2 linked regions of the Lytechinus pictus genome follow. The main gene of each other region encodes a partner of the protein of the gene in region 2 in a complex. Links are inferred from orthologs where the notes say so. Each region holds a gene or a part of one and is shown on either strand. Other genes may lie near its edges.

Region 1 (15,709 bases), on a different chromosome or scaffold from region 2:
GAGTGTGTAAAATAAAGGGAGAAATAATATGATAGAAAAAGGGTAATATTTCTATCATTCATTTAAGTTTTATATCACTTAATGGACAGCTTTATAAAGCATCCCAGTTTTTATTCTACCGCTTCTATCAAAACAACCCAGCAGGTATCAAGACGGGATCTCCCCATTTCAGCAGGATTGGATGAAAGAATGTCAAAACTCACCTTCCTCTAAGCCAAGTTGGTAGGCTAGATTCTGCAGCCCTTTTACTTTCTCCATTAGATTGGCTGTGGTTAAACTACCCAATTCTGTCAAGGAAATAAACAAAATTATATAAATACAGAAAAAAAATAATAATAAAAAAGAAAACACATGTTCATGCTTTGACTATGAAGCAACTGGTATCTCCACAAGCTTTTTCCTATCCAAAATCAATTGGGTACATGAACAGTGCCAATAATACTACTTTTTTTGTGGGGGGGGAGGGGGGTTCAGCAAATTTGGGATTGGTCAAGCGATTCCCCCATGACAATTCTGTACCTTTAACGTAAGATACAATAAATCTTACAATCGTTATCAACCCTATTTTGGTGTATTATCTGTGATAAACTTACAATATGAATTGTAAGATTGGCTTAAATCATAATATTAATTGTAACTTCAATGTCACATGGTAAAAGTATAACTAAAGTCAATTATTAATGAATGCTTCATGCATAATTAAAGATAGATATTTGCATAAACTTAACTATGTTTTCAAAATAAATTTTCTAAACCATCTCTTAAATTTGGCCGAATGATTTTTTATGTGCTATACTATGGCTATAAAAAACAATAAAACCTTACCATTGAGCATATCGATGTCATTCTTCTCTAAATCAGCTTCCCAAGGCGGTGAATTTGCATTGTTGAAAGGCTAAGAAATAAATATTGAAAAATTCATATTATTCATATAATGTCAAGCCATTGGAGATATGGGAATGTATAATTTACTAAAGGATGGAAATGTAAAAGAAATGGAATAGTCAAATAGATAAGATTGATGAGCAAATATTAACAAAACTTCATCAGAATGGTCAACTGTTCACAATATATCCCCAAATATTCTCATCCCAATTCTAATTCCATCCCAATTCATGCACTTAGCAAAATAGGGGGAGGGGGATAGGCAAAAATAACAGTGGAATAAATCTACTGTATACATTGCACTTACACTCTTGATATCAGCAAAATTGGATACTCCAGGAACTGAGGGAAAAAAAGAAAAGAAAACTTAAGAATAAAGTTCATACTAATTACTTTTTTTCCATAAAATAGTGTACCATAATATAAATAACAAGCATTTCTTGAGACCAATCTGAACTGATACACTCTACCCAAAAGGGTGTTATTTGGAGTATTAAACCAATCATCTCAAATGCCTTAAGGCTACCGCACACCTTACGATTGGTCTGCAACCAGATTTTAGAATAAAACGAAGTAGAAGTTGATGCTAATATTGAGACATGGAATATCTTACTGTGTAATGTTCTAAATCATTGTATGAATACCTATGTTTAAATCTGCGACTATGCTATCATCCTTATTAGAATAAAAGCAAATTTAATATCTAGTTGTAATGACTTCATGGCAATCATACAATTGGCTACGATTTGAAACTAATTTAGGCTTTACTCCAAAATAAAGGCTGGTAATCATCCAAAATTGTTATATACATGTAAGTATTTCAGTTAATTTGATCCTCAAATAAAAAGATACTTTTTATTCAAATTTTCAGAAAATAAGCAAAATGCGATTTGTTCCATAATCAAATCTTGGCCCAGTTGTAAGGTGTGCGGTGGCCTTATCTCTATACACCACCTTTTTGGTTTAATCTCTGTTAGTAATGATTTGACCATATTCCACTAAGTTGCACTAGCGTTAGGTAAGGGGACTTATAACAGTTTTTTTTTTGTGAACACAGTTGGATTTTCAAATGTTGACAAACCACCCCATATAATAACACTTACTTTGCTCAGGCCATAGCTCTGGGGATGCACGGTCCAACCTTTCAAAACTCAGGAGAGTTGCTTCCAGATCTGTTGAAAGAAAGAAACAAACAAACATATTGTGTGAATGTGAGAAGTTTTTGTCAATCCAACCCTTTAAAATTTCAACATATAGGCAATTAAAGTGCTGATTGAGTAGAAGAAATAACCAGTTGTCTCATATCTATTGCCCAATTGTCGCAAGCCCCCTCTTGAGAACGAATTCAAGGCAAGCATGAAAGTTTGCAGCAGCATACAATGAATTAAAATGTTGCAAGTAGGCATAGTAGCAGACATTTTGCAGAAATGAATTGAAAAATGCAAACTTTATCTCATGCTTGCCTTAAATTCATTCTCAAGAGGGCTCCCAACATCATTAATTGCACAATTCATTGCATGCGCAACAAATCAACGACTATCAACAATCAATAAATGGGTAGAACTGAGACTGCCAGACTGGATAATTTCACATCTAATGAAGACAGACATTCCATGCAAGAGTGACGCGTACATGTATTCCATGGTAGTAAATCTGAATTTTCCCTTTACGTCTATTTCATGTGATTACGGCCTAAAAGAAGCACAACTACAGCAATAATCCCAGACCTTCACATTGCTATTCAGATAATGCTCACAATCACTGTATCTATCGCCAGCTGTGAGCGATCATTCAGCAAGTTGAAACTCATCCTCTCATACTTGAGAGCCTCCATGGGCCAAGACAAATTATGTGATCTAGCTCTACTGAGTGTGGAGAAAGAAGAAACTGAAAGAGTCAATTTTGATCTCATCATTGATCAACTTGCAGCAGCTAAGGCGAGGAAGATTAATTTGTAAACAGTCAGACTGCAGGTCCCAAGAAAGTGGCTTCTTTCATCCAAGTGATATTCATGACTTGAGATGTTTTGCATATTTAATGAGCTTGATGCGGACCAAAACACCTCTTTTCATTCGGTCATTGCTGCTCTAATTGTGCATCGAATTTCATGAATTTGGTACCATTGTAAAGAAGAAGAATCATTTTTTCAGGTCATGTGTTTGGATTTATTCAAAGATTTTGTAATATAGGTTAAAATTTTGATCTAAAATAATATGCTACAAAATAAATATTTTCACCTGACAAAAGCTGCTATTTTCACACTTTATTTTTGTTTGAGCCCAAATGATTTTTATATCACGATAAAGCTGAATATGTATGCTTTGAAATGATATAGGCTTCAAAATAAGAATTGGTTTAATCGGGTCAAGACCACACTTTTCATTTGCCAAGTACATAAAGCAGCTTGAAAACAAGAATACTGCATTCTGATTGGTCAAAGAGACCGCACACTGGCAAATTCCAACGGTTCCAGTGCCTGGGTTCGTGGGAAGGTCACACTTCCCATGTGGTAATCTCCTCAAATACCCTGCGCCTGTTGTTCTGTGACTCTTATCCAGCCAATCGGAACTCTGGATTTCATGCAAGTACAAAATTTCTGAAATCTCGTCTTGTACCTTGGTGGGAAAAGTGTGATCTTGACCCGATTAAAAGGTGCTGCATATCAAAAGTGGCATTGTGAGAAAGTACAGAAGTTCAGCTTTATGTTGATATAAATATCATAGAGGCTCAAAATAAAAAGTTTTGCGCAATTTGCAAAAGAAAACAGAGGAAGAAAATTCAGTTTTGAGGCACATTTTCAGGCCAGAAATTTACTTATTTAACAAAATATTGTATACAAAATAAATGACCAATATGAAAGAGTAACTTTTACTCTATCTGATGGTGCAATAATATTTCATTTAACTTGAGGTTAAAACAGGTAAATTCTTAGAGAAAGAAAATCTCACGAATCACAAGATTTTGCAAGGAGGAGGATTCAGCCACGAGATGATTTGGATGAATCTGGCCTTTTTGCTCATTAGCATAGGGACCTGCGGTCTGACTGTAAACTATTTCATCACTGCCATTTGCCATAATCTTCCTGGCAATCATCACTCCTGTGTATTGTAATGATGTATGTTTTGGGGTATTGATTTTATGTTTATATAGTAATTCTGCCTGAAACTAAGATTTCATCAATAGGTTGATATGTGTGTTTGACATAAACAATATATGCATACAGTTTTCGTAATTTGTTCCAATTAAAATCATTGATTTATTTAAAAGCTGGCATTTGAAGATAACTCTTGAAAAAGGCCACAAATCCATTTACCGTCAGTGACTGTATACTAGCACATCAATGATGTGGAGCTCATCCTGCATCTCGCAGCGAAATTTAACACAATTTTAATTTCAGCCCAGTTGACACTTTAGTGAATTATATTGGTGACATACGGTAAATTGAGGATATAGAATTGAAATTGATGAAGAAATGGCATAGAAGCATTTTTTGCAATCTATGAATAAATTTCATATAAATTAAGCAAAAATAATTTTCTCGTCAAAATTTCTGAACTCTGTGTAGTACCTTGGTGAACCTCATGTAGCTCTCAGATGGAACAAAAATAATCAAAATCAATCAACAAATAAATAAGTATTTTTTGTGAGTTTTGAAAATATATGAATAAATTAGCATATTGAATGAGTTTCAAAATTCTGTGTTGAAATTTTGAATCACCACCTTGAGCTATCATATAAAGCAAAAAAAATTGAAATTGATCAACAAATGAAGAAGAAAAAACATTTTTTGTGTTTATGAATAAATTTTGCATAAATTAGCATAAATAATTTTCTAGACAAAATTTCAAAATTTTGTGTACAAGTTTGGTGAACCTCATGCAGCTCTACCAGATTGAAGAAAAAAAATCAAAATCGGTCAACAGAAAATCATATATATCATCATACTTGAAATGACAGAGAAGAAACATTTTGAAATTTAGTCAACAAATAAAGAAGAGGCATTTTCTGTGATGTATGAATTTCATATCAACTGATATTACGACTAGTCTACTCTCCAAGAGTATTGGGCTGGGCATTTATTTTTCTGACTAAATAAACCGATGCCATTGGGAATTACACACGCTCGAAATTTTGACGGAATAAAGCCATATTTTGGTATGTATCCAACTTTTCCTTCTTAAATCTCTTAGATACATGTTAGATAATTCTTGATAAACCTTCTCCATATTTTTTTCTTTTTCAATTTTAGTGGAGGGGACATATGGAAGTCTTGCCGTTTCAACCTTCTTTTATTCGGTTATCTTTTTTTCCCCTTCATTTTTTTCCTCTCATTTCTCAATTCATCTCTTTTCTTTCTCTCCTTCATTTTTTCATTTACCCTCCCTTCCTTTTTTTTAAATTTGTTACAATTTTAACTCAAAACTAAAGTCGGCTAGAGCTAACTTACTTAGCCTAGCCCAATGAGTGGCCTAGGCTCTAGCCCTTCTTTGAGTTTGACTTTGTTCATTTAAAAAAAAAATTAAAATCAAGACAAGGACTGCATGGCTCAGTCGATCCGCTCGTGCATTGTGCTTTGTCGATTGTCCCGTATTTCATTTGTGAAATCTGGTCACCCTGGTTTTACTGGCCATTCTGTATGCATATGGATACGAAAGTGCATTTCCACCAAATATCATGAAAGCAAGCTGCTGGTACAGCCAGGGTAACTTTAAAGGCAGGAGCTCGCCGAACAGTCACCGGAGCGGAGCGTGGTGGTCTGCAGAAAAGCTTACGGTATTCATTCACACACACTCACGATCACGGCAATCGCAACAACACCACAATGTCAAAAGACTGTACTTTTAAGATGACAATATACACATTTTATTTTAAGATAATTCCAATTACCTTCATATTATACTCAAGTAAAAAATTAACCCAACATTACACCCTGAAAGTTAGAACAATGGTAAGAAGAAAAAAATTAAATTTACCCGCACTGCCGGCTGGTGACGCCATTTTCACAAGAGCCCTCTACCGTTCATTTCAGGTACAATGTTTATATTTTCGTTGATATTGAATGAATGAATAAAGTTAAGTGCTGTGCAGTTAATAGTATACCTTTAATTTAGCATTTTAGGCTTTTTAGTAGAAAAGAAATGGAGCCAAAATGTCATCGCTTAGGCGGGAGCTGTGTAGAAGATGCAGATGAACAATCAAACAACATAGTATACCATGGTATTATGGATGATACACCTTTATTACCTTCAGCTTCTGTGCAGCAGGCAAGTCAAGTAACAACAACATGCAAGTTGCAACACAAAACATGAAAATTGATGTACTACTAGTACTAGTCCCTTTGTGTGACTACCGTAGTCATCAATCCAAACAATTCATCAATCGTCATCATGCATGATCGTACTACTAAGTTTATAATGAAATGTTTTTGTTTTCTTCATGTTTGTGTTTTTTATGTATGAAGATAATAATGCAGAGTAATTTTTTATGAGTGGTTATATTTGTGTATATTTTTGTATCAAGGGCCTGAATTAACAGGCTACTCTCGATAAACATTTGCAATAAATAAATAAATGAATAGATCTAATAACGCTTTTACATCCTGGCCCATCCTTGCTAGTCACTAATATAGACACTTGCCATCCCGTACGTGCTACCTTCCCTTCTATCTCTCTTTAAAAAGTTTATTGGTAATCTTTTTTTCTACAGGAGGCAATGACGGAAAGAGTGGAACCTTTTACATCAGGGAAGACATCTTTTGGACTATCAGTTTTCAATTTGATGAACGCTATATTAGGGAGTGGGATCTTGGGCTTACCCTATGCAATGGCACAATCTGGTATTATCCTCTTCAGGTATTACACATTTGATCCATTTCATGAAAGTTTGAAGCTATGGGGGCCAAGTTTCACCACCAAGCAAAAAAAAAAGGGAAAAAAAGGGAAGTGCAAAGCGTGAAATATGATATTATTTTTTTCTAATTATACAGAGGGAGTCAATCCTGATTTCAAGTTCTTCATGAAAATATAATTGATAATCAAGTTGTATATGTGAACGTGTAAGATCAGGCAAAATGTAACTTTTTGAAAATGACCTTGGTCATCAGATGAAGTGTTACTAACACCATTTGATATCTCTTTCTCAATGACAATTAGCCCAAGTGGGAATTAGACCAAGTGGCAATTGGAGTGATTGGACCAAATGGCCATTGAACCTGATTGTTAGTATAATATTAGGTTACACTAGGAATTACCTCTTTCAGCATCAATTATGGTGGCAGCGGTGGGATGAACACCCATAAAATGATAAATGCCTCTCAGAAATATGCAGATGCATGTGTTATTTGTCAATTGTAATTATTTGTTATATATGTTCTTGTAAATTGGATTTATACTTTGAAATGTTAAATTGAATAATAATGTTGATCATGACATTGATGATGATAATGATGATGGCATTTATGATGATCAAAATATTCATTATGATAATATGGCAGGTTATGAAGTGTATCTTAATTTACATTCAAGACAATGAAATTTATCAGGGGATGAAGATAGACCAAGTATTTTTAATGATTATTATTGTCCTTTTCCATAGTGTGATGCTGTTGCTTGTCGCTGTCATGGCAAACTACACAATCCACCTCCTTCTGAAGATGTGTGACATCACAGGTCATAGGTCATATGAAGATATAGGGAACAGTGCAATGGGTGTCCCAGGCAAGGTAAGCTTTTAGTCCCTTACTATTTGAGTAAATGTTATGTTCATATTTTAGTGTCATGTCTTAGTTTAGTGCACTCTCTTGATAAAACCCCTCCTTTTATTTTCTGACTATCTGTCTCATTTCCTTCCCTATTTATGAAACTGTATTAAAATAAATTCAATGAGAATTTTTGTCGATTTTGTTATAGCTAATGGCAGCTTCTGCTATACTCCTTCAAAATGTTGGTGGTGAGTAGAGGATCTAATATTTAGTTCTTGTATTATTATTATTATTATTATTTTTATAATTATAATTATTATTATTATTATCTTCATCATCATTATTAATATTATTATTATTAGTAGTAGTATTATTACTATTATTATTATCATCATAATCATCATCATATCAGTAGTAATATTAATTAGGGGTGATTTACTCCATTATTAATGATGAGTGATGAGTCTATTACAATTAACTTTCCTCTTTGTAATATGATTTACTCCGATGTAATTAAGATAAACCTCAAGGTGGTTTGCTGGAGGCATTATGTTTTAGGGTCATCTGTCCTTCCACCTTTTCATCCTCAAGAAAACCATATGATTTTACGGGTCAATTTCAAACTTAGCTCATGAATAAATGGGTATTTAGGAAAGTGGACTAATAAATAAATCACTAAGACAAATACCTTAAAAGCAATTAACCTGGTAAAAAGAATTGAGTTCAATACTGATGATGGTAGGGGCTTATAATATATTTTTATCCTTCATTTGAATGCTAGTATTGATGGGCTAGATTCCAATTTAAAAGGAATGGTATATTTCAGTGTTTCTTGAAATTCTATAACTTTAAAAAGGGAAACAAAAGATTATCAACATTTTTTAGTGTATTGTCTGCATACATATTGACAGAAAATATTGATTGAATAATGTTTGCCAAATGCCTTTGAAATAAGAATAGTTTGTATTTAGAAGTAAACTATCAAGATATTTTGTGATAAAAATATAATGACCAATGTCACAAATTCTGTGATTACTTATGTCATCACTATCAGTCATTTGATTAGAACTTGAAAGTACAATATTTTATATTAAATTTTACTTAGTAATGTTATTTTGTCTATCCTCCCAGCTATGTCAAGTTATCTATTTATTGTAAAGAATGAGATGCCAGCAGTTCTCAAGACGTTCCTACATGAAGACCAGACTGCAAAGTAAGTGTCTTGTCAAGTATTCATAAATTTTAAAGTTGTAATTGTTATTTTCATCATATTTTTGATCAATCTCAATTTTCATAATGTCAAATTGCCTCTGAGGCAGGTTATTATGAACATTGATGTACTAATAGCATTGAAAATATGCACCCCTCACCCGGAAATCAAAAATTTTCACTGGCAAAAGCATAACATGCAGATTTTTCATGCAGTGCATGTACAACAAAATCAAAATGCCTTCTTACTTGAATATAGAATATGCATGTATTCATTAAATGAACTTTATGTTTATATGAAATTAATTGTTTTGCCTGCGGCTACAGAGATCATCATCAAAATCTTAACCAAGGTTAAAATTTGAAATTTCATCATAACATAGAAATCAAATTATTTATATTTCATAAAACTTGGACATCACTCATCATTTGTATTAATTTCAAGTCACATAATCAAGTTCAAAGTTAATTATTTAGAACCAGGCCAATAATACATTGACTTCAATAGGGCTAATTCAGTATTCATGTGCAGGGACTGCGGAACGGTTTTTAAAGAGGGGGGGGGGGGGGTTGACTATGCAAAAAAACATAATCAGATGGTAATTTTTACGTTTTTGTACACGTTTTGGAAAAAAGTGCGGGGCCTCGAGGCCCCCCGTTTCCGCGGCCCCTGATGTGGTCATATCTTGGGCCCCGTTGAACCAATTCCTAGCAAATTTTAGCTGTCATGCACCTCCAAGATATGACATGAGAAACAATGAAATGCAAAATTTGTATTTTCATCATGTCACACTTCAGTACTCTATTACACTCCTAATTCAATGCAGTGAATGGTATGTAAATGGTGACTATTTGGTCCTACTCCTTGTGTTATTGGTCATCCTCCCCCTGGCTTGCCTGCCAAAGATCGGTTTCCTTGGTTACACCAGTGCCTTCTCCATTCTATGTATGGTCTTCTTCACAGTGGGGGTGAGTTGATGATGATGATGATGGTGATGATGATGGTGGTGATGGTGGTGATGATGCTCGTGATGATGATGATGATGATGATGATGATGATGATGATGATGATGATGGTGATGATGGTGATGATGATGATGATGGTGATGATGGCGGTGATGGTGGTGATGATGCTCGTGATGATGATGGTGATGATGGTGATGATGATGATGGTGATGATGGTGATGATGGTGATGATGGTGATGGTGGTGGTGATGATGGTGATGATGGTGGTGATGGTGGTCATGATGCTCGTGATGATGATGATGATGCTAGTGATGATGATGGTTGTGGTGGTGATTGATGATGATGGTGATGATGATGAAGATGTTAATGATGATGTGGATGATGATGTACATCGATGATGATGTTGTCAAAGGGATAACCTTCTCAAAAAAAATGTTTTCTTATGCTTTCTTCTCCAGATTGTGTATAAGAAGTATGGATTTCCATGCCCTATTCCTGTTACACCAGGACCAAATATCACTTTAGAGAATATGTTTGAAAACTATATGTACTACCATCCTAAAGATAACCAGACCAACCAATGCAAGGCCAAGCTATTTACTATCACTCTTCAGGTAACAATCCCATTATTGTGACTGTACATATATGGGCCTGTTCATAAATACTATGGATACTTTGATTTTGATTGGCTACTGGGCATAGTTACCATAATTGTAAGTTTGTCATCAAATGAGCATCTGGTGTTTAGTTTATGATGTTGTGATCATATTTCAAGTGAAATGAAATTTGATACTTAAGCCAGAATTTTAAGTATTTTACTCAGTATTTTGCTGAAGTAAAATACTTCACCATGTTTGGTATTCAATTTGCATTTTTGGGCTTTGTTTGAAATTAAATCTAAGTTTGGCTTGAGAAAGTAAAATACTTGGATGTGATCTGAACACTAGTTTAAGCATTTTGCTTAGCCAAGTAAAATGCTCAGTAAAATACTTACCGTATAGAATCAATACTTTCAATTAAATACCTGCCTAGCTGTTTTATAGTAATCATTCTATACTACAAACTGATGTAAATTCTTCTCATCCATCTGGTCATATTTGAATATAAAGACTTCAGATCAAATCACTGGAAATACAGCTTACTTGTTGAGACATTTCACCAATATCCAATTGGCTTTCTTGGGCGTATGACGATGCTTTTAAAGAAAGGAAGACCCTTATAAAGTCTGAGATGTGCAGATTCTGTGTGCAATGGATATGTCTAGTGCAAAAGTTATTTAATGTCAGTTTTCTTCTTTTCAAACACCATTCCCTCTTTTATGCATCATTTCTCAGTTTGTTTGTTATCATATATATTGTTTTGTTGTTTTTCCTTTACTTTCACCATCAGACAGCATACACTATACCGACAATGGCTTTCTCCTTCGTGTGCCACACAGCAGTACTTCCAATCTATGCAGAATTATCAAGGTATACCAGTTGTGGTAACAATCTCAAAAGTTTGAACAGAATCCAATAAAATTACCACCCTATGTGCCAAAAGGCTCTGGAAGAAAATGCGTAATTGCTGAGAAATCAGCAAAATAAGCACGGAATTCCATCAAATGTCGGGTATTTTTCCTAGCAATATTAATAGGGCCTACATTATCCCACATTTGCTATTCTGTGTTAATGATCATCAGAATTATCCAGTACCATGGTATACTATGGTATTACCATAGTATTACTATGGTAATACTATGGTAATACCATAGTGTACCATGGTACTGTATGGTACTTTTTTACAAGGGTGAGCTAAGATTTCATGATTTCCCAAAGATAAGCTTACTTTAATGTACCAGATCTAGATATATGATGATATTTTGACAATTAACCTTGATTTTAAAGACTTTCTCATGAAATAATTGTTTGTTGCAACTACTATCTTCTACCTTTAATATACTAGTACATAGAATCAGGTATCAAAGGTGAACTTTGATATTTGCTTTGTTGTGTTTAATAGCTGATATAACCTTTATTCTCAAAAAGTAAGCTTTACATTAAAACCACAACACATTATACTCAGATTTATTTATGTGAATGTTTGTGATGTGGATTAATTGTTATATAATATCATAATTCACCTTTTGAAATAAATTGTCAGCATCAACATCAATTATCCACTAATCTGTTAAAACAAGTATTTGGCAACAATTAAATGAAATGTATATAATCATCAAACTTAATCAAGAATTTGAGTGATGAATTATCTGTATGAAATTGCAAATTATTATGACATTTATTTTTGGAAGCATATGAACCATATGATAATGGGACAATATGTTCATGATAAATGCATGACCTTGATATAGTTTGACAGAGAATATTCCAGCAAATGTGAGAAATTCTGGCAATGAAAAGAAAAAAAAGGATCATCTCTGATATATTAACATAATGCACACCTGCAGCATATATATACTAACTTTCTCTTCTTTTTGCAATTTCCTGTAGACCAACGAAGCGCAGGATGCAGAATGTTACTATCACGTCTATTGGAGTTTGTTACACCTTGTATATGATAGCATCGTTGTTTGGATATCTTACATTCTATGGTAAGCTTATGGTGGGAGAGGGAATACTCAATCTTGGTTCAGATGAGAGTGTTCTGCTGTAGCCTCCATAATGTGACTAGTCTTGGTTTTAAAAAGTGCCATGAGTATCAGGGCCGGATCCAGGATTTTCCAAGGGGGGGGGGAGGGCCCATTTTCCCGAGGAAAAATTTGACAAGCAAAAAACAGCATTTTTTTTTCATTTTTAGTGATGAATATGTAATTAAGGTTGAGAATGTGGGTGATAATTAGGAAATATTGGATGGCCTTGAGTGAGATGCAAAGAAATATTGTACGAGCTGAAGAACAATATTGGATGAGTCGAAGACGAATCCAATATTGTTCTTCAGCGAGTAACAATATTTCTACGCATCTCACGAAAATTGGTCATCCAATATTATTATTATTATTATTTACATACCCCCACAAAGCTAAAAATAAAGTAATGAACCCAAAAAAAAGGTTAGTAACCATCAATTATGGCAATCCTGTAAATCATGAGCATGGCGCCTGAGTATTGTCATTTAAAAAAAAAGAAATCTCTGTAATGAAGTAAAGATGCGCAAGCGTATAGTGCAAGCGCATTTGAATTCAATAAATTGACTCTCCTTTACCACACCTGGCAACTAATACGCGACGAAATTTCATTGTGACGTAACAAAAGCTTCATGCGCACAATCATTTATTAACCAATGATAATCTTGTGGGTGGGGCAAAATATTCATTTCGTCCAATATTTTCAATATTGGATGGTTTTCATTGGCATGCACGTTAAAAATCAGTTTTAATATTTTGTCTCTTTGAAATAAGCGTGCAAGACGTCAAAAAATATCTGCGCCTGTAAAACCCTAGATTTAAATAATAATATAGTTTATTTTCACTTGGTCTACTTATCATACGGGCTTATTTGGTCTACTGTCAGTTTGGAAAATATCCATTCAGTTTACATTATACTTGGTCTAATAAAAGAACTCATGAAGAGATTTGTTCACTGTGCTTGTTAATTATTTTCTCATCTATCTACAGATGGTATCAATAGTGAGATACTCCATGGCTACAGCGAATACAAAGAGGATGACCTTCTTATCTTGATCATCAGAATAGCTGTTCTTACTGCCATTGTCTTCACAGTACCCATCATACACTATCCTGTAAGTCAGGACCAAACGTTAAAATCTGTGGCTTAAAAATGGATAACCAAATGTGAAAACTTTCCAGTTTGATTTATAAGCATTTCTGGTACTCAACTTATTACATCTGACTCAACATGATCATAATAACAGTCATAATAACAATATATGATATTTACCAAGGGTAGCCACTTCAACATTGTAATTTTTTCTTTCATTGGGCCCTGCATAACATGATAAGTTGTTATAAACACCCTTTTCCATTCTAATATGCTGAGTGATTGGCTTGATGGCAGAAGGTCCCATTTTAAAAAGTTCTTGGTATGACTCAGCCTCGTCAAGTGTCAAAATTTTGATATTCTTGACTATTTTGTAATCCATTTCAGGCTCGTATAGCATTCATGATGATAGCCGGGACTGCCTTTCCCGTAGCATCAGCCAGGTATTCATGGAAACTTTATTTCCTGACGACATTCATTCTGCTCGCCTTAGTCACAACATTTGCCATCTGTGTTCCAAACATCATGGAAATATTTGGTGTCATAGGTAAGCAAATAAATATAAACTTGCAATGATATTAAAAAAAGTCCAAACCTGTAATAATAAACATCGGATAACTCTTTAATTGCTATGTTAAGATGGAAGAGATTGCCTTTTTAAGCAAGCAAAGTCCCATTGTGCTAGTATCATCTGTACTAGAGACATTTTTATAGATGTTATGGAGAGAAAATATGCTGCAACAAGGCTCTTATGAAAATGAAAATACCAGGAACAATAATTTATCATTGTTTGGCAAGTTTGTATTATTACTATTATATGAATTGTTTGTTATATAAAACAAAAATGTTTAAATCTATGCATACACATGTCAGTTAGACAACTTCCCCTTTTTCTTTTCTTGATATAGGTGCCACTGCCTCGACCAGCTTGGTCCTCTTTCTTCCATGTCTTTTCTACCTCAAACTTGGTCAGGAGCAGCTCAAATCATCATCTAAAATCATGGTAAATAAAATTACTAAATAAAACATAGAGTCTGTGAACAGACAGTTTAAAATTTTCAAAAATATTTTGCTCATGTAATCCCAATGCTTGTGACAGGGATTGTGGAGCTGTTTTTAAAAGTGGATGCTGACCATACATAAAACACCATCAAATGGTCATATTTACTTTTTTGAAAAAATGGGGCTGAAGCCCCCCCCCCCCCCCCCCTGCTTCTCTGGGCTCTATGTAATGCGACGTTTGAGTCATTTCCTTTAAATTGGTCAGTAATTTTAGTTTGGTGTTATAAGCTCAGCAGTACTTAATGTTTTTTTTTAAGGATCAAAATAGTCTTCTAGATAAAGTATTTCAGTGGTCTCTCTTCAATAAGTTAGCATTTTCTCCCTGAATGCTGCTCAAAGATCTAACTAATCTTCCAGTTATCAAAAAATTTGCACATTCTTGGAGAAGGACACTGAAAGATCATTTAGAGATAATTACAAGATCACCGAAAGACTAGTGAAGACCAATGAAAGAAATGAAAGAGATCGCCAAGAGACCACAAATTACATGAGATAGTACTGAAAATTATTTGGCGGGATATTATTGGTTTTTTATCTTTCAGCAATCTCTCAAAGGTCTCCATGCTTCAGAAAGGATGCTTAAATATTAGTTCTAGAAGTATTAATCATATTTTTTGTGATTTATCCAATCTTTACAGGCCACCATCCTCCTGGTGGTGAGTGTTGCTCTCCTCATCCTCAGCCTGGCCACCATCATCTATGGAATCATTACCAAGGATACATGATGCACTCTCTCCATCTCATTAAATACCAAAGAGACAAATGTGTGGCCAAACTGATTAGTCTTCAGGAAGGACATACTGGTTCATTAGGTACTAGGTTCAAATCCCTGTCTCATACTCGAGTGCTTCATTGAAATCTATATTGAGGGCGAGATGATGATAACATGCAATATCCATTGGACATGCATACACACAAATTATACATGTGTAGTTTGTGGGATACAAGTACTAATTTATGAACACTGGTTGTTAAGATATTGATGTCTGTTATTGCCACTTTCCAGTTGACCTGGATTAAAAAAAGACCTTTCTTTAGAAAATTGCTTCCAGATAAATTTTGAAAATTAGGTAAACACCGATTCTGATCTCATGCCAAAACAGTAACCCTAGTCCTTTCTTTGATTTTGTTTTGACCCCCCCCCCACACACACATCATTCTTTAGATAAAT
Region 2 (15,818 bases):
AATATTTCTGGTATTCCATTCTGAGCCATCCAATATAATATAACTACACAATTCTGATACAAAATCCAATTCAATTAATTTTGTTGTATGATCAATTGCAATGCATTTTCATGGGGCCTGGGTCCCATGTCAAAAAATGTTTGTAAGTTATGGATGACTTCATGCACGACTGATGGCCCTATCTTCTGCTAAATGATATTTCCTATTTTGCTAACTTAGCACGTAAAAACATGTTCTAGTCATTTGTAAAATCACACTAAAATTTTCTAAGAGCTTTATCAAACAACATCCTAAGGCTCCATAACGTAAAGCTTAGACATTGATCACAGGAATTATTTTTACAATTGTAGGAATCAGCTCAACTATCAACCACTAAACTTAATGGTCTGTATTCTGAAGTGTTTAACTTAGACCAGTCTTACTATGTGCTGAGATTATGGGGAGCCAAATATTCTAAAATTCTGTTTATATTGTATATTTCGAATATTTATTAATTCGTTTCCTTTTGCTTTCATAATGAAGAAATATGCTTCAGTTATCATTCCCAAACAATTATCAACAATGTGAGTGTCAATTGAGATAAAAGAGAGGATTGGTACTGTTAGGGATCCGTTCCCCAATCGGCTTTCCATAGTTAAACCACAACTTAAAACCAGGGTTTAATTTAAACCTGAGTTCAGAATACGGGCCTATATAACTGGGTCCTGGACCTGTAACACAAAGCTTAGTCATCATCATAGAACATTTTTTATGGTTTGTTTGCATTGACTACAATAAACACTCCTGAAGACGGACAGTCAACCTGCCCGAAACGTCGAGTCTCTCTACTACTCATCATCTCTACTCGCCGACTCAAGCCAGCATCTCCTCACTAGCTCTACTACTCAAGCTGTTCTCAACTCATCAATCTTTCCTGGTTTACAGTCCTTTTCAGGACTACTTTCAAGAAAGAATACTCTACTCTCAAATCTCCACTTTCTCGCCTATCCATTTCTTCTCTTCTCCTATCCACTGTTTCTACAACACTTCACATGGTGTACCGTAAACCACATCAACGATTGTACATACCACCATGCAAACCTTCAAACAACATCCGAATAAACAATAAATCGTATTACACTCAGCCCAACGATCTATGACTAAGTTAAATATCACTAGGCCCTGAACTTACTTGTCAATGTTTGAGTAGAAATATTCATAGATGCACCACTTGTACGCCTTGGGCAATTTCAGTAGGTTCTTGAGGCGCTGTCCCAGCTTCTGGGCGGACTTCTTGTAAGACACATGGCCGCTTCCCCCTGCTGCGGTGCTGGCGGATGAAGACGGCTTGGACGGCATCGGAGCGGGGGAGGGATTATGGGCAGAAGACTTGGAAGCACTAGGACGGGGCGGGGATACGAGCGTTGGGATTGATATATTCAGTTTTGTGGGCTGCAAAGAAAGGAGTAGATGGGAATTTGTTTTTAATCAAAGGCAAGTATTGATATTGAAATCATTGACACAAATTTTTTTTCTTCAAATGCAATATACAGAGTAGTTTTTTTGTTTTGCTGGTACATCCATTTGGAATAATTTATTCTGTTATTCTGGCATTATAATAGCCTTAATCTATAATCTGGCCTTTTGTGTTGTTTTATGTTCTCTTCTCAGGTTGTTTGTCTTAACTTTACATTGTATGCTTTTCATAATTATATTTGTAATATTTATACTTTTCTTGTAGGGCCTCCAAGACAACAGTATGCCAGTTACTGATGGAGCCATCCTACCAAAACAAGACTAATAAATAAATAATACTTTAAGTTGGGGTGGAATGACCCGGGGCCCGTTTCATCAGACTTACATAGTTGTTGTAAATTTGCTATAATTTAAATTCCACATAAACCTTGATATTGCGATTGCTAGCAAGTGCATTGATGAAATAGCCCTCATTATTCAAAACACATCAAATCTTACTGTTCTTTGAGATGGCGACATCTTAATTTTTTTGCTCGGTGAAGCCCTAATGGGAGACATGGATGTGTCCTCATCATCGTTGAATATCCTCCGATTTTTCTTCCGGATTCTTGTGGGCTGGGATGACAAATTGAAACAGATACATTCAAATGTAAAAAGTTATTCTTCTGTATCATCATCATCATCACCATTATCATCATCATCATCATTGCCATCATTATTACTATGATCATTGTTATCATCAGAATTATCATCCTTGGTTGCATGTCATAAGGTGGTCCAATTTCGCGAACAGGGTAAAAATTGTCAAAAATTTTATTTTTTGATATGTTATAGCTATTACCATTCTCTAAATAATGGAAAAGTTTTAAGTCTCGAATACCTTTATTTTTCCTTAAAATGACTAATTAACAGATAATTATTACATAGACGTCCATGTAAATGTGAATTTTGAAATGTGTTTTTTTCAAATTGGACCTGCTGCACATAAAATGGTGTCAAAAGTTAATGCAACATTAGATCACCCTAGTAAATTGCAGTTATAATCTTGAAACATCAATAATTAAATCTGTACCAAAAATTGAATAATTATCTATCATTGTATGCATATTAATTATACTAATTAATTAACAATATTTAATTTCACATTTTTGCCCCCAAAATACCTGTCACTGTATTTATATGCTTGGCAAAATGACAACATCATGGGTAGAAATGTTTGTTGCAATGATACACAACATTTGTACTAAAAATCAAGATTACAAATTAGATAATTAACCAAATCTCTCTGGTTTACTAATTGATTAGGTTGCAGATCAGAGCTGACATACACATGTATTCCATTGCTGCATATTTTCAAAATTGTCAAATTTTTATGACATTTAGTTGTTCCCTGCTTTAAAATGCCCAGAAATATGAGGATAACAGTCATATTACATATTATAGTAAGTTGTTTATTAGGTTTAATTAATATTTTATCATTTACCGCATCCACCGGCTCCGCCACCCGTTATTTCAAACTTAATGTGCTATAGTTTTTGTTCCTGATATTGTATTGATCTAATTCATAGTAATATATTTAGCCTATAGTTCTAGCTTCAAAATGAGATATTACTCAATAAATTTGGTCAAGATGCTGTGATGTAGCAACAATTTATCCATGGCACCGTGTGGAAAATTGTTCATACGCCACCCTTTTTGCATACCCAACTTATGAAATGCGACCCCTTATCATTTTGATTATCATCATTGTCACTAATCATGATTATTCAAAGAAGTAGAAGTATAGTTATTGTTATTATCATCAATATCACAATCATACATATCAATGATCATTATTATCACTAATTTGGATTATCATCATTATCACTAATACATGTATTTTATCATCATCATACTTACATGCCCTCTCCTTGGCACGGATGGAGTAGTCCTCGATGGTGATGCCTTACTCGGACTAGGGGCCGGTGACGGGGAAAGCTTAGCCTTCCCTGCACTTCTCAGGCTCATCAAAGCCTCTGCAGATGCTGCATTAGCAAAGAAAAAAAAAACAGTGAGGGAACGAACACCACCCACTTGGGCCACAATGGTTATGATGCCACAGGGAATGATTTTACTGGTATTGCATCGCAATTTGCTCCATATTTATTTCTACTGCTACTGTATACATGAAGTCTTTTGACACAGGACTGTACAGATCCTAGTTGGGAGCTTTTCTCTTATGACCAAAAATGCTAATCAAAATTATTCCCTGTATTTTTCTTGATGTTCACGAGGGCCGTATTTGTCTAACAAGGGCGCGCGATTTATATTCATATCAAAGACACTACTACAGTAGAGGCGCCGCTCCAAAAATTGGGATTGTCCCAGAAAACAAGGATATCCTCAATAAGCCAAGACAAATTGTGTCTTGATAAATTGAGATTGTCCTTGTTTATGGGGAATTTTTTTTCACTTACCCCTGCAGGACATAGACGGCAATTACGGGGATTGAGAGTGCAACAAATATATTCAGTGACCTCCATTCCCCCAGTTCACCATCATTTTCACGACTTGCCGTCTTCCAATAATGTTATGAAACCTGATATGTTTACATTGACAAGCACACTCGATTGATGTCGGCACTTGACAGGTGAATGAACTTTCCTAGATTTCTTGTGTGGATAACTCTTTGAAAACTGAGACAGTCCCTGTCAACTGGGACCATCCCAATATGCTGACCGGCGCCTCTACTGCTAGGTACTCAAACTATTTTACACGCAAATCGATGTACCGGTAGATCTAAAGTGCTACGAGAGTCAGGGAAGTGTCCAATATTTTCTTTGTATAGACTTTGGTATATCGTTTATGGACAAACGAATAAAAGTTAGTACTGCTGGTTTTGTTCAAGGCACATAGAATTTTTCTATTTTTAATAAACTTGTCGTCACTTTAAATGATTTTTTAAAAAGTTATAAAAAATTATCATCACCAATAATAATTCAAAAGTATGTTTATTGCATTTATTGGTGCCGATATTTTATCAAATAATCATAGAAACTGCGCATACATAGAATTAGACAATTTACCAACGCGCTAAATTAAGGTTGTGAAATTTATTAGCACTATCATACTGGGCTTCCTTTAGTTTTATTTCTGTGGGCGTGGAAAAGACATGCGAACAGTAGAGGCGCACTGCCAATATGGGAGACTCTCTCCAATATGGGAGATTGTCTCCCATAGTGGAGACTTGCTTTGCAAAAAGAATAAAACAATACCAACAAAAGCGTAATTTTTTCCATCCAAAATTTTGTCTCACTTAGGTCAGAAGCCCTTTTGTTTTGTGTGTGGGTAAAAAAAAAATCATTATCAAAGCAAAAGTAGACAGTGAATTTTTAAAGTAGACGTCTAAAAAGGGTAATTTTTCATGAGGAATCTGCTTATCACATTTTTATTTGCCGTCAAGGTAATTCTTTTGCAGTAAATGTAAACAAAAGAAATTGGTCTCCCAATCTGGTGACTGTGTCTGAAATTGGATACCCAAATTCTTTACAAAAGTCTCTAATATTGGAGATAATCTCCCACATGGGAGACAGTCTCCCATATTGGCTGTGCGCCTCTACAACTGGCAAAACAACTTTCCAGGCCGAGGTAAGCGATATTGCCATTTTTTATTTGAGATTTCAATATAGAGACTAGATCTAGAATCTATAAAAATAAAGAATTAAAAGAAAATCATTGTCTAAGTTTAAATCATTTTGACTTATTTCTCGATAAAACAATAAATCGGATAATCACGACTCGCATCACTTTTCAGGCAGCATGCCGAGACTAACTAAGTACTTAACTCCAGGGGGGGCAGTCAAATATATTGCTGTACACACGCGTGACCAAAAAAAAACGTTTAAAGGGGTGTTTTTTCAGTTTTGGACGCGGGCCGTGCGTGCACTCGTCAAGGGTATCAAAAACACAGATTTTAAAAAAGGGGTAGGCCTAGTTTTGAAAGACTGGTCAAATGTATTTAGGGTGTTTTTTTCCAAAGGCAAGCCTTTTTTAAAGACTAGCCAAACGAGTTTAGGTTAGAACCTCTGTTTTTTTCCCCAGCCCCGGGGTCATATTCTGGCGACAACTTGTTTAGGGGCCAAAATGTGTGAATATTAATAGCCCGCGAAAAACTTGATTAGGGATTATTTTGCACACATAGAAAAACTCATTTAGGGTGTTTGGAAATAATTTGGCCATGCGTGTGTACAGCAATACATTTGACTTAACTCTAACATGTCGTTAGTCTGACTCTTATATTAGCTACACCAAAAGCTTCGGTCTCTGTATATGTATGTTGGTGGTTGCGTTGGCTCTACTCACCAATTAACGTTACACTGTCACTAGTTACAGAGACCGAAGTTCTAACTCGATCGGTACAGGGAGTAAAAAACAACGGCCATATGTTTATATATTAAGTTCGGATCAACCAGGGAAGTTGGAGTTGCGCGACAGCCGAAGTAAGTCACTATTTTTCCACTTATAAGTTTATTTTTTCCCGTTTTGGTGCATTTCTGGCCAAAACAGAATTGAACAATCTTTACTTTACTTTAGTCTTTAGTTTGTCCAGTTCTTTTTATATATTAAATCTTTATGAAATAAAGACAAAAATCGATGAGCCCCATCGGGGGATTTTGCATTGTTAACCAGCATAATGGTGGCTGCACGATAGCGAGCCGTCTGTGTCAATGTCTGTGTTGTGTACGACGAGGAGAAATTTGTTTTTGAAAATAAAATTAAAAACAGACGGCTGCCAGCTGTCTAATGACTAATGTTAGCAGGTTAGGAGTAAATGAATGGCAAGATCCTTAACATTCTCCACGCATACTTCAGATTCTTAAATTTGTTATATGTTCTAGATTGAACTTTAGTTTCACTGACACTGGTCACTGCACTGGCCACTGCGCCAGGCCAAGGCAATGACTTCGCGATAGATCTACCACACAGTTTTCAATATATGGGACTGGAAAATAACCAGCGTCGCGGAATACCGTCACGAAAGTAATTGCAATTAGGAAGCACAGAGATGCAGCAATAATGCCAAAATTGATTCAGACCATTATCTCACTTTCATCATCAATCTCATTATCTACTCCAATAAGCATACAACACAGATTAAATGTAAAAGCAATGAACTTGATACAAACTTTCAAGAGCTGTGTCCGCCATCTTGACGCGCCTCTTTTTGAAGAAACGAGATGCATTGTGGGATATTAGGCTATTTTTAGATCGCGAAGCGATTATACTAGCGCAGCAGCGGCACCAAGATTTTTTGTTGGGGGGGGGGCACTATAGCGTACCTAAGGGGGAGCGCAGACTGCCCCCCCCCCCCCCCCCGACGAGTCACAAGCAGAAAAAAAAACGAAAAAAGGGGGGAAATAAGAGGAAAAAAGAAAGAGAGAAAAAAGGGAAGGGGAAAAAGAAGAGTTTAAGGACGTTCCACAGTTATGTTTGTGCGCATCATGCTCTGTGCATATTTTACACTCTGCGCGCTGACGTCACAATGGATGAACAGGTGATTATTCAGCTGTAGGTATGAGCTGATTTTTCTCCCTATTTGCAGTAACTGCAGATCCGGGGAGCGTTTCATCAACATTTTTGTCCGACAAGTTGTCATATCTGACATCTTTCCTTAATTCTGATTGGCTGAGAGGTACTGTTACTATGGTAATTGTCGGATAAAACAGAACTTGTCGGACAAAGTCCCTTCATGAAACGCTCCCCCGATGTGTTATCTTATGAAGCTAATAAACTGGAATTATTCCGTCGACCATTTTGTTAAATACCTCTACAATTTCAAAATGTTTTACTCTGTAGTGCTGCAAAGTATGACGAATATGACCCCGAGTTTGAATAAAATAGTGGTAGAGTGGTTTGGAATTTTTCATCACATAGATACAAAGCTTTTGGCGCATTTTGGGGTGCTTTGAAAAGCACATTTGCTCTAATAAATGCTGATAGTTTTTAAAACAACCACATGAACCCATATTTATATTGTTTGCACCTCTTAGGTATACCTTCCTCTACAACTTTACAAAGTTTGGTGAAAATGACATGGGTTTTGAATAAAGTGCAGCATTTCTTGTACTTCTCAAGTTTGTTATTGAAATTTCACATTTTTGAGGTTGAGTTTTTGTTATCTTTCGCGCAATTTCTAAGAATTGAGAGTGCTGTTAGACTTGAAAAGCAAAAAATTAATAGCAATATAAATACATTATCCATCGTAAGGATACAATTATTAATTACATTGCGAAATTTGATAAAATTTTCATGGATTTTGACTGAGTACTAGAGCTTTAAATTATTATTGTTGTGATCTCGTGAGGTCTAAAAATGCCAAATTCTTTTGGATGCGCAATTCTTAAAAACATCATCCATTGGGGTTAACTTTGAAGCTCTATACCAAAAAATCAAGCACATGGACCCATGTTAATTTTTGCATATTTGGAATATTCAGGTGCTAAAGTAACTATGTGCAAAGTATGATGAAAATGACATGGATTTTAAATGTTTGGGAGCAAGACCACGAAACCATTCGCATTTTAAACCGTATTAACAGACTTTTGCTTGTTTTCGGCGCATTTTGGGCTGTTTCAAGCCAACTCGCAATACTTTGGACACTGATAATTTGAAAACGAGCACATGGACCCCATAGTTTAAATGTCTTAACTTCTTAAGAATATATTCCTCTACAAATCTAGAGGGTATGACTGATGAAAATGACATGGATTTTGAGTGTTTGGGAGCAGAACTAAGGAATGATTCGTATTTTAGACATTTCGGACGGTATAATAAGACTTTTGCTTGTTTTCGGCGCATTTTGGGCTGTTTCAAGCCAACTCGCAGCCGTTTAGACACTAATAGTTTAAGAATGAGCACATGGACCCCATGTTTTTATATTTCAACGTCTTTAGAATAAAATCCTTTACAAATCTAGAGAGTAGGATGAAAATGACATGGATTTTGAATGTTTGGGAGCAGAACTAAGGAACCATTCGTATTTTAGACATTGTAGACGGTATAAGGAGACTTTTGCATGTTTTCGGCGCATTTAAGGCTGTTTCAAGCCAACTTGCAACATTTTGGACTCTGATAGTTCAAAAACGAGCACATGGACCCCATATATTTAATATTTTAACGTCATCAGAATATATTTCTCTGCAAATCTAGACAGTATGATGAAAATGACATGGATTTTGAATGTTTGGGAGCGAAATATGAAACCATTTGCATTTTAGACAGTATTATCATATTTTTTGCTTGTTTTCGGCGCACTTTATAATAGGTGGATTTCAATATTTTCAAGCCAACTCGCAACATTTTGGATACTGACAGTTTAAGAACAAGCACATGGATCCCATAATTTTAAAATTTTAATGCCTTTAGAATATATTCTTCTACAAATCTAGAGAGTATGATGAAAATGACATGGATTTTGAATGTTTGGAAGCGAAATATGGAACCATTTGAATTTTAAAGGGTATCATTAGACTTTTGCACGTTTTCGGCGCATTTTAGGTTGATTTCAATATTTTAAAGCCAACTCGCTACATTTTGGATACTGACAGTTTAAGAACGAGCACATGGACCCCATATTTTTAATATTTTAATGCCTTCAGAATATATTCCTCTACAAATCTAGAGAGTATGATGAAAATGACATGGATTTTGAATGTTTGGAAGCGAAATATGGAACCATTTGAATTTTAGAGGGTATTAAGAGACTTTTACATGTTTTCGGCGCTTTTTAGGCGATTTTCAAGCCAACTTGCAACACTTGGGACACCAGTAGTTTAAAAACGAGCACATGGACCCCATATTTACAATATTTTAATGCCTTCAGAATATATTCTTCTACAAATCTGGAGAGCATGATGAAAATGAAATGGAATTTGAATGTTCGGGGGCAAAACTACGGAATCATTCTCATTTTAGACGGCATTATTCACTGGCGTAAATCCGTGTTGATGGGTGGGGGGGATGACTGAAATATTTTGGCATTTTTTTGCAATCATGTTTTTAGATATGCAAGGAATTGTCATTGATATGTCCACAGTGGCGTACCGTGTGTCACGGCATTGGGGGGGGGGGGGCACCAGCAAAATTTTTGAATGACTGAGTGAGTGACCTAATAGAGACATTTTAAGGACAATGTCATTAAACGGATATGTATCTCACTGATCAAATAATGCGAGCGCGAAGCGCGAGCTGAAATTTTTTAATATTCACACCTAAAAAGGGACATTATAATCAAATTTGTGTATTCATGATAGGTACCTGTCTCGCTTAACAATGCGAGCGCGAAGCGCGAGCTGAAAACTTAGATAATTCAGACCTGAAGTGGGGCATTCTAAGGTTTCTTTGTAGGAATTAACTTGGACCATACGTATTTCATTAACCAAATGATGCGAGCGCGAAGCGCGAGCTGAAAAATTTTGTTAATCAGATCAGAAGAAGGGACATTTTAAGGACTGATTTTAGGAATTCATGAAGAGCAGACATATCTCACCAATCCACTAATGCGAACGTAATCACGGACAGGAAATGTTTCATATATACGAAGACCTTAACATGGGGCAATCACTTTTGAGTCATGAAAAAGAAGCACATGTCACTACATAAAACAATGATAACTCAAGTGCTAGGAAATATATTTGGTTTATATTGACTTGAAAACGGGATGTTTTAGTACAACATGATTATATATCTCGTTAAACAGACAATGCGAGCAACAGGAACAATGAAGACGTAGGCCCTGGGCAAATTATGTTTCATAAAGTTATGATAAAAATGTTTCTTATGTAATGTAACTTAACATAATTATAATATAACATTATAATGAATAATATTTTCTTCTTTCCCACTACGTTTCTCTCCCTTTCTCCCTCTTTTCTCCTTTCCCCCTTTCCCCGTTTTTTTTGTCAGCCGATGGGGGGGGGGGGGGATGTGCCCCCCATGTCCCCCGTAGTTACGCCACTGTATGTCCATATGGCAAATACCCCTCCAATATTATTATCTTTTTACCCCATGATGGTTTAATGGTTTTATTAGAGATTACATTAAAAAAAAATTGTCATTCCATCTTAATCCCTTCCCAAAGACTCCAACATTTATGAATTTGAAGAAACGGGGGGTTCTCTTCAATGTTATAATAAGGACATTAGTATTTTGTTTGGAAATGGTGAACTGGCTCTTTATTTGCATTTTATGATTCAATAATATTATTTTATTTGTTAAGCGGTATTTTTGGAAGAATTTTCACCAATAAAACAATTATCTCTTGTGATTTTTTTTTTCATTTCTTTCGTAAAAAGTGGGGGGGGGGGGGATGTTTGTACAGGCCATCCCCCCTCCTCGAAAAGTGGGGGGGATATATCCCCCCCATCCCCCCCGGGATTTACGCCAGTGGCATTATTAGACTTTTGCAAGTTTTGCGCGCATTTTGGGCGATTTTCATGCCAACTCGCATCACTTTGGACACTCATAGTTAAAAAACGAGCACATGGACCCAATATTTTTAACTTCCCTACACCTTTGATATGCATTCCTCTACAATTTATCCGAATTTGATGAAAATATGACATGGATTTTGAAAAAAGTGCAGCTTACAAAATACTTTTTTAATTTTTGAGTAGATTTACGTTTTTTAAAATTTGTTTTTTCCGAGTTTTTGCACCATTCTTGCGTGATGAGGGCGCTGCTGACTCCAAATAGATATAGTTTTACCAATTAGAATACTTTCTCTTACTTTAGAATGTCCGGTTTTCAGGTCGGAATATAAAAAATCAAAAATATATCATTAGAAACCATGCGCAATTTGTTCACGGTTACAAAATTGCTCAAGTTCTTCGGTCGGAATATGAAAAATTCAGCTCGAGCTTCGCACCCGCATAAAATTCCATCCTGTTCATGATTAAATGAAGTGCTCAGAATGTAAAGTTTTCAGGTCGAAATATAAAAAAGGTGCTTAGAATGTCCACATTTCAGGGGGGAATATATCAAATCCTCAGGTCGCTCTTCGCGTGTGGAGCGTTGTGGCCCAGTTGATTAGTCTTCTGACTTTGACACGGAGGGTCGTGGGTTTGAATCCCAGCCATGGCGTAATTTCATTCAGCAAAAAATTCATCCACATTGTGCTGCACTCAACCCAGGTGAGGTGAATGGGAACCCGGTAGGAAGAAATTGTCTGAATGCTTGAGCGCCTAGGCAGCCCAGCTACAGCCGGAGTAATAATAATAGCAGGGCCCACTGGGAGAATAGTTTTCAGAACTGAAGTGGCTTCCCTGGGTAAATATATACCTTTACTATTATTTTTATTATTCAGTTAGAAACTAATTTGTTCATGGTTACTGAAAGTGCTCAGAATGTCTAGTTGTCTAGTAAGGAATATCAAAAATTTTAGCTCGCGCTTCGCGCTCGCATAATTTATTTAGGAAGATACCCATCCTATACATTATTAAGTGCACAAAATGTATCGTTTAAGGTCTAAATTTTTAGAAAAAAATCAGCTCGCGCTTCGCGCTCGCAATTATTATTTTTATATTATTATTTTTAACTGATTTCAATGTGAAATACCTCATTTATAACGTCTCCAAATGAGCAGAATTGGGAACATAATGTAAACATCTTCAAAGAAAAAAAAAATTAATATAAACATTGCAATTACCACTTGATTAGAAATATATCGATCTGGATCCAATACATTTCATTTCTGGAATGATATACAAAAAAAAGAATTAATTTTGACAATAAAGTGCAATCGCCCGATGGCAAATATCAGTAGTAGCAAGATTCAAACTGTTTTATTGGGCACCCCTGGGTAACCTTTTCCACCTTCACTGTCACTGCCAGACCTACACATCCAAACGTGTATATAGGGGTGGGCTGCAAAATTCAGGGCAACGAGGACTGCGAGGTGCTCAAATATCCTCGTGTATTGGTAATTTTATGACCGAATGTATAATTTCTGCATGTTTCACATCATGTAAAAATGCTAAATAATAATTGAAAAAAATGTTCGCTCGCTTCGCTCGATCGAAAATTAAAAACTGTGATGGTGATATTTGGGCAATGATTATCAGCCCCCTTGAAAAAATTGTGCCTATATACGTCCATGCCTACTAGCCCCCACCTTGTTCATCCTTATCGCTTGCCCCCCCCCCCGACGAAATATGCCAGGTACGCCACGGGGGGGGGGGGGTAAAGTGGAGGGCAAAAGAAATGATTGGAAAGGCCAAGCGAAGATTTTTACTGAATTTCTTCATAGGGGGGAATAGAGTTTCAGTTCAATACAATGAATGGCGGGGTGGGGGGGGGGGCATGCCCCCATGCAGATGAATATGGTGCCACTCCATGCAATAATTAAGCTAAGTTGGTCTACTCGATCTTCAGATAGGAATTAAACATGGGCTAAGCTAGTTGATCATCTATTAGCTCGCATGATATGAACTTGGTCTAGATCTAATACCCAGTTGGTCTAATTTCACTTCGTCGACGTTATTATTATTATTTTTTTACTTTGTCAAGTTATAATGAAAGTTTGGTTTGGAAACACTTTCTATCCCATACATTTGCAATTAGATGAAATTCATGTTGCAGACTTGCAGTTTGACAATATAGGCCCTTATATATAGCAAATCAGTTTAAACTCCTTGTTGTAACGAGTAGGCCTACATCAACAATCAATTGCAATTAAATTCACCCCCCCCCCAACAACAAAAAAATACAAGATGAAACTGATGTTTATTCGACATCCAATAGATTTTTGCATTCTTGCTACACACCCCACACGGTTTCGTCTAATGCAAATTCGTCCAATTTCCAACTCGTCTACTATCATTTCGTCTACCATCAGTTCGTCTACTCACCACATGGCCTACTTTCATTTAGTCTAATGCCTTTCCGTCCGAAACCAGTTGGTCCAATAGCCATTTAGTCCATACATTTATTGGTCTAATTGGACTAAGCGTTAAATTGTGCCAAATGAATGAAAATGAAATGGATTTAGACCAACTGGTTATGAGACGAAATGGTCATAGACGAAATGCTGGTTAGACAAAGTGATGATTGGACCAATGGTTAATGGACCAAATGGTTGTTATACGAAATGTTGATGGACGGACTGGCATATTAGACTAATGTGGTGAGCAGACGAGTTGGCAGTGGACGAATTGGCAATTTATCCCCCACACGCGTCCTAAGTGTTAGGCATAGCTTTAACGGATAATTAGACAAAATGTGTATATGCTAGCCTATAGCTGAAATTAGATTACGAGACCCCTTAGACAAATTACAATAATTGATTAGACCACTCGAGTATCAGACTCCCCCATTCCTAACCTGTTTATATGATCGTTTTGATTATAATTATTTACATAAAATATTGCTATATGTTTTCCTGCTTTGATCGATTTGATTTGATTTGAAATAAATGAAATGAAAATGAAAAAAATTCAGACGAACAGATTGTAGACGAAGTGAGATTAAACCATGTGGTAGTGTCATGTTTAAAATAAAAACTTGTTATAATAACAAATGATCAGTTTCACTATCAGCCAATCAGTTTGAGGGATTTCAGTAGCTTTTAACTTTTATTGCAAATTTGTTACTATAACAGGTATATGAAACAAGTCCCATAAATCATACGAAGTGTATATATAGGCAAATTGATGATTTGTCTGAAGAAACTGGTGGGGGCCGGTGGAGGTCGATATGGTCAGGGCCAGAGTTTGATTTTTTTTTTATTCTAGGGAACTTTATCAAAAATCACAAAATGTGGTCTTCTAAATGGAATAAAAATGGGGGAAGGGGTGATGGTAATCTTGGAGGGCAAAAAATGGTGTTCGACTTCTCTACCAAACTTTTCCTTTATTTTTCAAACTTTCGGAGGTTCAAATGGGGGGGGGGGGGGGGGGCAAAGATTCAACGGGGGGGGGGGGGGGCTATGAAAGACAACATTGCATGTTTTTTGAGATGGGATTCATAGTGCTCCTATGTAACAATGTGAGGTATTGGCGTAAAGAGCAAAAAATAGTTGAGGAGAGACCAACATTGAGGCGGAATCTCTACAAAGCCGCAAGCAAGCACAATTTTTTGAAATTTAAAATACGAAAAGCTGGCTCTCTGATTTTTTACAATATATTTCTAGAAAACAATGGTTTTTTTCTCCGTCGTGGAAATGGGGGGAGGCTTGTAAGGATATACCCCCGTAATATATGCTAACTACCAAAAACTAGCAAATTTGTAATGATATTTTGTAATGGCGACTTGGGAGGCGACGTTTTTTCATTTTATTGCTTGGTAGGCTTATTCTTTTCCAGCATTGATTTTTTTTACTTGATGCCTTTTAAAGTTTGTTTTCAGCTGGATGATATTGTGCTTATACTCTGTGTTTTACATATACAGTTCACTGGCGGATCCGGGGGGCACATTCGGCTCGTGCCCCCCCCCCCTTTGAGAGTCATAATCAACATATTTGATGTAAATATGCAATTTTTACCCAAATGTGCCCCTCCCCTTTAAAAGCGAGGACCGTTTTTATTTATTTTATTTGCTTGCCAAATTTTTTTAGGACGAAATGACCTTGAAATTTAGATAAAAACCTTTTCTTTTGCTTGTCAAATTGTCATCGGGAAAATGTGCTTCCCCTTTGGAAAATCCTTGATCCACCCCTATCTTGATCCATTTCAGTATCTCTTGCCTGTATGGTCACGAATAAACTTGCTGATATTCCTTCGCTGATATATATTTTCTTACATTTGAAATAAGGCCTATTGACTGTTACAGATCTCTACTTTGATATTATTTGATAAGTATGATTTGATTCGGTTTGATTTGTATTTGCGCCAGGTGTCATGCAATATTCCTTTATTGTTGCTACACGCCGCTACGTCAGTTACACAGGCGAAATCTACTCCAGGGGCCCGATTCATAAACAGTTAAAACTGTTGTAACTTTGCCATTATGGCAACTACCATATAACCTTGATTTTGATTGGCTGCTGGGCCCTGTTGCCACGGTATTTGCCATAATGACACAGTTACAACAGTTGTAACTCTTTATGAAACGTTCTCCAGGTCGAAAAAAGGCTATTACGTTTTTTCCAATGACATAAATGTCGGTTTGTACCCCTTTCATAAACCCAATTATGCGGCTAATAGCAGCATAATTTGGTCGTAAAATCGGAGGAGGACCAGAGTTATCCGCATTATTTTGATGCTGCAATTATCCGCATAATAGCGGCATCGGGACCAGATTTTGACTTTATGAACGCATTTCCAAATAATGCGGATAATTGCCATGGTGCGGTCACAGGTCACCCTTTTCCAACACAACCGCATCGGAGG

The links.
Region 1: the proteins of protein lin-9 homolog (region 2) and protein lin-52 homolog are in contact, whole or in part, in a crystal structure (PDB 6C48), measured with the Homo sapiens proteins. The link is inferred for Lytechinus pictus from reciprocal best matches to the Homo sapiens genes LIN9 and LIN52. Residues at the interface, in NP_001353174.1 of Homo sapiens: Leu335, Gly336, Phe338, Phe342, Leu343, Ile344, Val346, Thr347, Leu349, Ser350, Lys351, Leu353, Met354, Lys356, Lys357, Ile360, Leu363, Arg364, Asn367, Thr368, Ala370, Glu371, Lys374, Ile382, Phe384, Gln385, Tyr388, Ala389, Val392, Leu395; in NP_001019845.2 of Homo sapiens: Asp61, Met64, Leu65, Leu68, Gly69, Leu71, Thr72, Thr73, Leu76, Met77, Val80, Leu83, Gln84, Leu86, Ala87, Leu90, Asp93, Glu94, Glu97, Met98, Arg100, Gly101, Leu104, Asn105, Ile106, Leu107, Glu108, Pro110.

Annotation. Positions count from the first base shown.
Region 1 is NC_087251.1:29,395,706-29,411,414, forward strand, and holds the start of protein lin-52 homolog, read right to left. Parts: upstream 5,946-15,709; 5' UTR 5,915-5,945; coding exon of another isoform or gene 5,884-5,914; coding exon 5,859-5,883; coding exon of another isoform or gene 5,831-5,858; exon of another isoform or gene 5,816-5,830; intron 5,659-5,815; coding exon of another isoform or gene 5,560-5,658; exon of another isoform or gene 5,375-5,559; intron 2,058-5,374; coding exon 1,989-2,057; intron 1,228-1,988; coding exon 1,193-1,227; intron 896-1,192; coding exon 826-895; intron 288-825; coding exon 204-287; intron 1-203. Other genes in the region: probable sodium-coupled neutral amino acid transporter 6, read left to right, coding at 5,560-5,658, 5,997-6,149, 6,592-6,737, 7,480-7,606, 7,794-7,833, 8,717-8,798, 9,622-9,763, 10,219-10,374 and 6 more.
Region 2 is NC_087253.1:17,763,582-17,779,399, forward strand, and holds the start of protein lin-9 homolog, read right to left. Parts: upstream 6,687-15,818; 5' UTR 6,643-6,686; coding exon 6,621-6,642; intron 3,480-6,620; coding exon 3,355-3,479; intron 2,071-3,354; coding exon 1,954-2,070; intron 1,432-1,953; coding exon 1,172-1,431; intron 1-1,171. UniProt on the Homo sapiens protein: Acts as a tumor suppressor. Inhibits DNA synthesis. Its ability to inhibit oncogenic transformation is mediated through its association with RB1. Plays a role in the expression of genes required for the G1/S transition.